2 linked regions of the Mus musculus genome follow. The protein of the gene in region 1 purifies or fractionates together with the protein of each later gene. This does not show direct contact. Links are inferred from orthologs where the notes say so. Each region holds a gene or a part of one and is shown in the gene's direction. Other genes may lie near its edges. The genes, in order: Uqcrb and Cox6b1.

Region 1 (4,433 bases):
TTTTTTTGAGACAGGGTTTTTCTGTATAGCCCTGCTGGCTGTCCTGGAACTCACTTTGTAAACCAGGCTGGCCTCGAACTCAGAAATCTGCCTGCCTCTGGCTCCCAAGTGCTGGGATTAAAGGCGTGCACCACCACTGCCCAGCTCATTTCTGTATTTTTGACATTAAATCCAGTCCAAAATTCAGAAAAGATAGTTGATGTCAATGAGAGGGAAACCAAGAAATAATAAATAGTATCTACCTCAAAAAAAAAAAAAAAAAAGACCACTATCGAGTCATAGTAAAACTCAACAGTAACTCCACTTTCTGTCCTTAGTTTTTTATTTTAGACTCTACCTGTTGGGGTTGAGATCTTGAAAGCACAGTCTATAGTCTTTCTGCTTGCTCCATTTTTAATACTATATGCAAATTCTAAATATATCTTAGGGGTTTTGTTGTTGTTGTTTTGTTTTAGGTAAGGTCTTGCAGACTGATGCCAGATTCACTATGTAGACAACTGTAGTCTTGAACTTGCAGGGATCCTCCTGCCTCAGACTACTGAATTCTTGGATCTTGCATGTGCCATTTACTCCTACCTTAAAGTTAATATTTTTAAAGCTTATCCAACCTAACTTTCTACTAAAATTGTTTGATAGGGATTTTTAGGTGGGGAAAGTGAAGCCTAGAAGCTGAAAGTTATCTGGGATTGGTTGTGCAGCATATGATCCTAGAAATAAGGAAGCCCGAATTTGAAACTGGATTTCTCAATTCTAGTTAACAAACAAACAAACAAACCTGGACTCTACCCAATTTCAATGCCCTTGGATAACTTATTGAACTTTTCTGAGGCTCAGCTTCCTTCTCTCTTCAATACTGATAGCACCAGTAATTACACTGATGATTTAGAATTAAATGAGAATATAGCCACACTTCTGAACCCAAAGATTGCAGACCTATAGATTGAGTCTACCACAGATCGGGAAGGGGTATATCTGTGTTAACTATAAATGTTCATTATACCTGTGTTACTTCCAAAATAGTGCAGTATAACAGTTATTTGTGTGGTGCTTACTTTATATTCTGTATTAAAGTAATCCTGAGGTGATTTAAAGAATGCAATAGTGTATACATTATATTAAAACACCGCACCATTTGACATAAAGAATTTGAGCATCAAGCGTCCTCTAGCGTCCTAGCATCCCCTCCATGCATTTTGAGATGCGGTTTGCCTGAAAATCATTTACTACATTACCTGTCTCCAAGACTCCATTTATTCCGCAAAGGTTCTTTCCTATAACAGAGCATTGAATAACACTGTCTCCTAATTTCGCAGTACTTTCCCCATTGTGTCGCGAAGAATGTTTTTTGTAACAAGGCACACAAAAAGATCAGCCTAATGTGTGGAGTCCATTCAGGTAGGAAAGAGTAAATGCCTTCTGCTGGCGGTCAGAGCAGCGCCTGCCCCTCCCTTCCCCTTCCTAAAGTATCCAGGACGCCTGCGTAGGAGCCCGGCGTGTCCTCTAGGACTTACCCAGAAGGCAGCGCTTCACTCTCAGGTCAAAATGGCGGGCCGATCTGCTGGTGAGTAATTACTCCTCCTTTGTGGGTATCGTGGAGCGGTTGTATTTTCTCACGAACTTGTTCTCCTTTTGCGTTAGCTAAATAGCTAGTTTGTGATAAGAGACGTGGCGACCCAGCAGCTCAAAGGACAGGTTTCGCTGAGCCAGGTCGGGCCTGCCTGAGGGTTAGAACAGGGACCTCTGCCGGAAGGAGCCCAGCGGGGCTGACCGGGTTCGGCCTCCTTCCCCTCCGCCTTGGGACAGCTTAGGGAGGTGAGGAGGTCAGCAGACGACAGCCACAGCGAGTAGTGGGGAGCATTTGGAGTCAGGCGCAGGCCACTTCAGTGACAGTGATCGGAGCAAACAGCGCCCGAGCCCGCATGACGCTCCTAAGACTTGTCAGAAGAATTAAAAGGAAGTAAGATAGGGTTATAGTGAGGTTTCAGGTTAACCTTGGCATATCTGGACGGTGAGCTGGGGCTGCAGGGCTGTAAGGACTTTTGTTTAATGTAGGCACTAGAACAAATTTGAGATAGAGTGCCAGAATGTTTTCACATCAAATATTACTCACCCTCTCCCCTCCTATTTTTTTTTAAAGCTTAATCTTTGCCCACTGATGGTATACGTTGGAATAGTCTTTAAAAACAATACTGATAACCTTCTCACAGTCCCTGGAAATTCTGAAGGCATTAATTTTACCCATTTGACACAATTTTAGGAAAAGTATTCTGTTTTGTTGAGTTTAATACTTACGTAAGCCAGCTTCCTTTTCTGCAACAGGCTTTTGATCTATAATGTGGCAAACAGAGTAGTGCCTGACACATTTGTTAAGTAAATATTAATCGATATTATAATCACTGCTGTGTTAACAATTTAGTTCTTATGCTTTTTTTTAATATTTTTATTTTTTGAGCCAGGGTAGCCCAAGTTAGCTGTGTATTGAAGAATGACCTTGAACCTCTGATTCTTTTTTCCTCCACCCTAAAAATGCTGGAATTGCAGGAATGAATCACTATGCATGTTTTATGTAGTGCTGGAGTTGGAGCCCAGGGCTTTGTGGTGTATGTTAGGCAAGCAATATACCAACTGAGCATTAGCCCTTGACAATTTAAATTTCTCTTAGAAACAATTTTATGCATGACTTCTAATTTAAAGGTTGGAGGAAGCCATGTAGTAATCTGTACTGAGGATTAGGAAATTAGAAGGAGATAATAAGAAGGGAGCCTCTTTTTCCTTCTATGGTAAGAAAGTAGCCTTAACGCTTAGGGACTGAGAATATAGCTCAGTTGGTAAAAAGTTTGCCTTGCAATGTAAATACTGGCCTGATTTCGGTTCTCAGAACCCATTTTGTTTGTTGAGCTTTTTCTTTTTAAATAAACTGAGTTCCATTATATGAGACACGTCTCAGTAGCCCTAATCCATGCTTTTAATCCTAGAGCTGGAGACAAGGAAACAAGTGATCTTGGGGTTCACTGGCCTTTTAGCCTAATGTACTTGGCACTTCCAAGCCAGTGAGAGATGCCATCTCAAAAATGAAAAGGATGACAACGTCCTCTGGCAGTCACATGTTCCCTCCCCTACCCCTCACATTTTAAAAAGAAAGGTTAAGCTTGCTCTATCTTCTTTCTTGTACCACGTCTGGTCAACATCAGGCACTCTCCTGCTTCCTTGCCTCTTCTCCTTTACCTCTCTCAGGCTCAGTCTTCTTCCCCAAATGGTTTAAGTTTGTTTTTGAATAGAGTTTTTTGCATGCTAGGCACGAACTCTAAGGCTGAACCATATTCCCAGCCCCTATTTTAGTTTTTGTATCTCTGTTTGTTTGTTTGTTTGTTTGTTTGTTTACACAAGGCTTGGTATTCACAGTCTCAACTTCCTGCATGCTGAGATTACAGGCATGCTTTGTTACATTAAGAGATTTAAATTTAACATTGAATGTTTCTTCTTATCCATGTTCAAATACTATTATTCCCTTGACGAACAGTTTGCTGTTTGAGAAAAGGAAAATAGGCTTCTTTTACTAATATATTGGTATTTAAATTAGCTGATAGTATGAAAGTTTTTCTAGAAATAATTATAAATTATATTTTATGTAAAATTATAATTTTAAGGATGATAGCCAAATAAGACAATGTAAACTAAAAGTTTTGGAGACTAGAGGCCTGCCACTTAACCTGAAATCTTATAGCTCCACCTCCTTGGAAAAGAAAAAGTTATTTCCGCAGCTACAAAAGACAGAAGTGCTTCAGATCCTTTCCTGTCTCTGGTCCTTCAGTTCTTATGGTAGCAGGAGAAGGGTGTTGGACTCTGAGAACCCAAAGTGGCAGGAAGTATACCTGTGGCTATTAGGCACCTTTAGTTTTGAGTTTACCATTTGTTCCCACAGTGTCATGAGTGAAATGATTATCTACATTGTATACAAGGGGATTCTTAGGTTTATAAGATAACTGGTTCTTTACCAATTGGTCTATTGCTTTGTAAGTATATTGTAGCAACTAACATTGTGGTAATTATAGTTTCAGCATCAAGCAAGTGGCTGGATGGTTTTCGAAAGTGGTATTATAATGCTGCAGGATTCAATAAACTGGGTGAGTATCCATTCTGTGGTCCTCCTTCTCTTGTTCTCCCTGAATTCAGTACTTTTAAAGAATTCCTATAGTTCAAAAGAGATCATTTGTTTTTGTGTGTATCAGATTTAAAAATAAACTGTTTTTGAATTTTTGATCTTTATGTGGTGTTTGAACTTAGTGTTGTCTACTTAGCAGTGAACTTCACATTGTGGTCTAGAAGCCGAATGGAAGCATCAGCAGATCTTAGGGTTTCTTGGTATAAATTTGAGTTCTTTATGCCTTTAAAAAATTTATCAGTTGCACATATACCAAGGTGTGCTTGTGGAG
Region 2 (4,593 bases), on another chromosome or scaffold:
TCTCATTAAGGGTGGTTGTGAGCCACCATGTGGTTGTTGGGATTTGAACTCAGGACCTTAGGAAGAGCAGTCAGTGCTCTTACCCACTGAGCTATCTCGCCAGCCCCCCACCCCTTTTTTAAAACAGGGTTTCTCTGTGTAGCCCTAGCTGTCCTGGAACTCATTCTGTAAACCAGGCTGCCCTCAAACTCAGAGATTCTCCTGCCTCTACTTCCCAAATGCTGGCATTAAAGGCGTGCACCACCACTGTCCAGCTAGCTATCTTATGAACTGAATTATGTCAATCCAGAATACAGGTTTTGTGTGTAAAAATTCACTCTAAAAAGGGCTTGGTGCTACACCAAGATCCCAAACACCTAGTGTAATCACTGGAGACCTAATAAAAACTTTCTATTAACTTAAACCCATGTCAGCACTTTAATCCCAGCACTCGGGGAGGCAGAGGCAGGCAGATAAAAATTCGAGGCCAGCCTGGCCTACAGAGTGAGTTCTAGGACACCCATAGATAGATAGATGAGTTTCCAGGGCTACACAGAGAACCCCTATGTGGATGGCTACTCTCAATTATCAACTTGACTATATATAGAATGAACTATAATCCAGAAACATAGGGAACACCTGTAATCCGGACTTGAGGCAGGAAGACAACATGCCTGTAATCTGGACCTTAAGGCTGGAAGACACAGGCTTTTGATCCAGACCTCTAGGAGGAATGACTCCTACAGGTCTTGAAGCACACTTTTATTCTGGGCCATATCTTCTGCTGGAGGCCTATATAAGGACAATGGAAGAAGGGACAGGTACTTGCTTTGCCAGTACTTCCTTTGGAGCCTACTTCTTCTGGATTCCAGTTTATGCAGAAAAGCAGCAGAAACAGCAACCCTCAAGGATCAGAGCAATTCACCACATTGCTTCCAATTATGATGATAATGGACGAAACTTGAAACTGTAAGCCAGCCCTTAATTGTTTTCCTTTATAAGAGTTGCCATAAACCGGGCGTGGTGGCCCATGCCTTTAATTCCAGCACTAGTTAGGCAGAGGCAGGCGGATTTCTGAGTCTACAAAGTGAGTTCCAGGACAGCCTGGTCTACAAAGTGAGTTCCAGGACAGCCAGGGCTATACAGAGAAACCCTGTCTCGAAAAACAAACAAACAAACAAACAAACAAACAAACAAAGAGTTGCCGTAGACATGATGTCTCTTCACTGCAATAAAACACAAACTAAGATTGTCTATCCCGAAAACCCAAATAAATAAATATAAATAACTTTCGAATCAAGGCACAGGGGTAAACGCTTGTTATCCTAACACCTAGTAATCTGTGATCAAAATTTCGAGGCCAGTCTGAGATATACAGCGAAGTCCTATTTCAAAACACAGATTATCTGTGACACTTTTCCATTCCCACTCTGAAGACAGTCTTATGCTTTTCCCTCTGGGAAGGACAGGCAGGTGATAATAACCCATAATTGAACGTCAGGTGCCTTTTAAGAGCAAAGTAAAATCTCGATTGGCCCAGCAACAATAATAAGCAGAAATTTAGCTCAATAGGAGGTCGGGCTTCTTCGGAAGTGGGCGTGGCCAAAGCGGTTTCTGGGCACGCCTCCCGAGGCCAATCTAGCAGCCCGGAGGACTCAGCTCGGCTCCTCCTCTCGCAGCTTCCGGCCAGTCGGAATTCCGCTTCCCGTCTGACATTGGCGTCTTTGCTAAGGGTCACATTGAAGTAACGCTACTCCGGGACAATCTTTAGGTGAGTGTGAAGGGTCGGGATCCTGGGGGAACCTTGTCCGTTGCAGAGAAGCGCCCCGGGGCTTCCCTGACGCCAAGCAGAAACTTCCGGCGGCCACGGGTCCGGTGTCCTGGAGCTAACCATTATAGCCGCCTTTCTTCATGATGGCTAGGTCGCTTTCTAAGCAGTCCCTATTACTCCATCCTTCAGCCCTACAAGTCCCCTTTGATAGCGTTGGGGCTGGAGTGTGAAGCGCCTTACCCGTGGCTATAAGGCAATTCGGATTTAGACCCAGTAAATTGGACTGTGGAGCTTTTAGTTGCGAGTTCACAGGCGTGGCCACCCGCGTTCCAAGGCCGAAGCCTGTCGCCTTGACTCGTGTCTTTCCCCTCAGCGTCATCTTTGATCAACTCTCAAAACTCGAGATATTGTCCAAAATTACTTCCGACACTGAGTCTTTTAAATCCCCCGTGCCCACCTTGCCTCCTTCAATGAACCTGCCCAAATACCCCACTTGTTTGGACTACTTCAGTTGACACTGGCACCTCTGTGGTGTCAAGGTCCCCCAGATGCTCTAGAGACAGTTTCTCTCAGGTCTGTTGATATTGACTATGTCATCTCTTCAGACATATCAAAGCTGAGAGAAGTCGATAAAACTCAAGGAGCTAAAGTATTTGAATGATTGGGGGGGGGGCGGTTTGCGTGGGGTTCTAATCGAATTCCAGTATTTACTTCCATTAGGAATGGAGGCAGCAACGTCAATAGATTTGGTAGCCTGGGCCATTGTCAGCAGGCAAAATCACAGATACCTGACACATGCCAGTTACAAGAGTCACAAATCTTCAGTCATGGTTACCTCCAGTTGTACTTTACTTGTTAAGTCCTTTGAGCTTTTTTTTTTTTTTTTTTTTGGAGCGGGGTGGGGGGGGACACATCTTAGGCAATCCCACAATGCATTTAGGCATATTCTGAGCAAAGTTTGAGTTCATTGGACCTCAGATGAGTGTGTGACGCCAGAAAACTAGCCGGTGACACCAGAAAATCCTTGCAGTGTTTTTGCTGGTGATGGATGAAGCATTATCACTGGGTGCTGTGTGACCTTGGAAAGTCATTTAGACACCCTGTCCCTTGTGTAGACAACAGAGGTAGCAATATCTTTTAGAGTGGCCATGGGGTAGGTATGTATAGAGTACACATAGTATGTGCTGTGCACACAGTGAGCGTTAACTGGAATTTAAGGATGAAGATTGGTTTTGCCAAGGAGACCTCTGTCCAACCCTACTGTGGCTTCTGTACTCAGATATATGGGTTTTCCCTGCCCTTCATCTTTCTGTGTTTGTGAAGAAGGGGGAGATAATGGTTTATTCACATTCAGCCTGTTATTCTGCTCTGGCCTGACATCCCCACACCCAGCACCTCCAGAATGGTTGCCAACATTCCCACTCTGTTTGCATCCAGGAGTCAGGATGGCTGAAGACATCAAGACTAAAATCAAGAACTACAAAACTGCCCCCTTTGACAGCCGCTTCCCCAACCAGAACCAGACTAAGAACTGTTGGCAGAACTACCTGGGTAAGCAGAGTACCATAGTGGGCCTGCCTGGGTCTCCCATGTACCTCCAACCTCAGAAAGGAAGTTGGGGAGCAGGGACATGTGCGTTCCAGCCTGGTTTCCTTCACTCTGGACGTACCCTCTGGAGGGCCCGACCCCTCAAACTAGCTCTCCAGGTCATAAACTTTGGTCTCAACAATAAATTTTTTGAAGAATATAATTATACATGTATATATGAATTACATATACATCTTATGTGTGTGCCACATACACACACAACATACAAGTAAATACAGTATGTAAACAGTTGATTCAGGGGCTGGTGAGATGGCTCAGCAGGTAAGAGCACTGACTGCTCTTCCGAAGGTCCTGAGTTCAAATCCCAGCAACCACATGGTGGCTTAACAGCCACCCGTAATGATATCTGACGCCCTCTTCTGGTGCATCTGAGGACAGCTACAGTGTACTTGATATATTAATAAATAAATCTTTAAAAAAAAAGTTGATTCAGACATAGTCACAATCCATGGATAAAAATGAATATTGCCAGTACTCTGCTCTCAGCTTGCTTTGGGCCCGGTCTTAAACACTGTCCCTTTCCTCTCTCTTTGCTAGAGACATTTGGGGCCCCTGCCTTACTTGAGCCCATGAGACCTTCCCTCAACAAAGAAAAACAAAAAACAAAAAACTAACCATTAACAAGAATTAAAAACCCCGCTGGTACCTGTCCTGTCTTCCTCAGATATGATCAACACTACCTTCCCCTTCCCTAGCCCTGTCTGGACTTCCATAATTCTGATATATGCCCCTCATACTTTGCTGTCATTCCTAGCTCCAGAATGTTCTATATAACTGCCCAGGTCAGGCGTATATAGCTCTTTATGGTGTACTTGTAAGTTTGCATTCCCTCTGTATGTATAAGCAATCTTAAAGCAAAAAGCATTTGTGGATTTTCCTCTGAAATGTGCTTAGTCGGGGTTGATTTGGAACCTCTTTTCTTCACAGACTTCCACCGCTGTGAGAAGGCAATGACGGCCAAGGGGGGTGATGTCTCCGTGTGTGAGTGGTACCGGCGTGTGTACAAGTCCCTCTGTCCCGTGTCATGGGTATGTGCCTCCCGACGGGACCCTTGGGTGGTCAGGTAGGGAGGTAGCAGAGACGAGTATGGCTAGTGAGAGTTCACCTCCAAGGGTCAAGCGAGGACCAGCCATGGAATGTCACTGATCCCTGCTCAGTGAGGGCCCTTAGCCCAGGACCACCCTCCTTGCCCATGCACTGAAGAAACACAGGCTTGGGCTGGGCAGTAGTGGCCC

What was found.
Region 2: the proteins of Uqcrb (region 1) and Cox6b1 purify together in Homo sapiens (affinity purification with mass spectrometry; 3 studies listed by BioGRID and IntAct, counting the BioPlex papers as one, with this or other methods). This does not show direct contact. The link is inferred for Mus musculus from reciprocal best matches to the Homo sapiens genes UQCRB and COX6B1.

Annotation. Positions count from the first base shown.
Region 1 is NC_000079.6:66,902,421-66,906,853, reverse strand, and holds the start of Uqcrb (cytochrome b-c1 complex subunit 7), read left to right. Parts: upstream 1-1,503; 5' UTR 1,504-1,542; coding exon 1,543-1,561; intron 1,562-4,052; coding exon 4,053-4,124; intron 4,125-4,433. UniProt on the Homo sapiens protein: Component of the ubiquinol-cytochrome c oxidoreductase, a multisubunit transmembrane complex that is part of the mitochondrial electron transport chain which drives oxidative phosphorylation.
Region 2 is NC_000073.6:30,623,208-30,627,800, reverse strand, and holds the start of Cox6b1 (cytochrome c oxidase subunit 6B1), read left to right. Parts: upstream 1-1,686; 5' UTR 1,687-1,750; intron 1,751-3,187; 5' UTR 3,188-3,195; coding exon 3,196-3,301; intron 3,302-4,285; coding exon 4,286-4,386; intron 4,387-4,593. UniProt on the Homo sapiens protein: Component of the cytochrome c oxidase, the last enzyme in the mitochondrial electron transport chain which drives oxidative phosphorylation.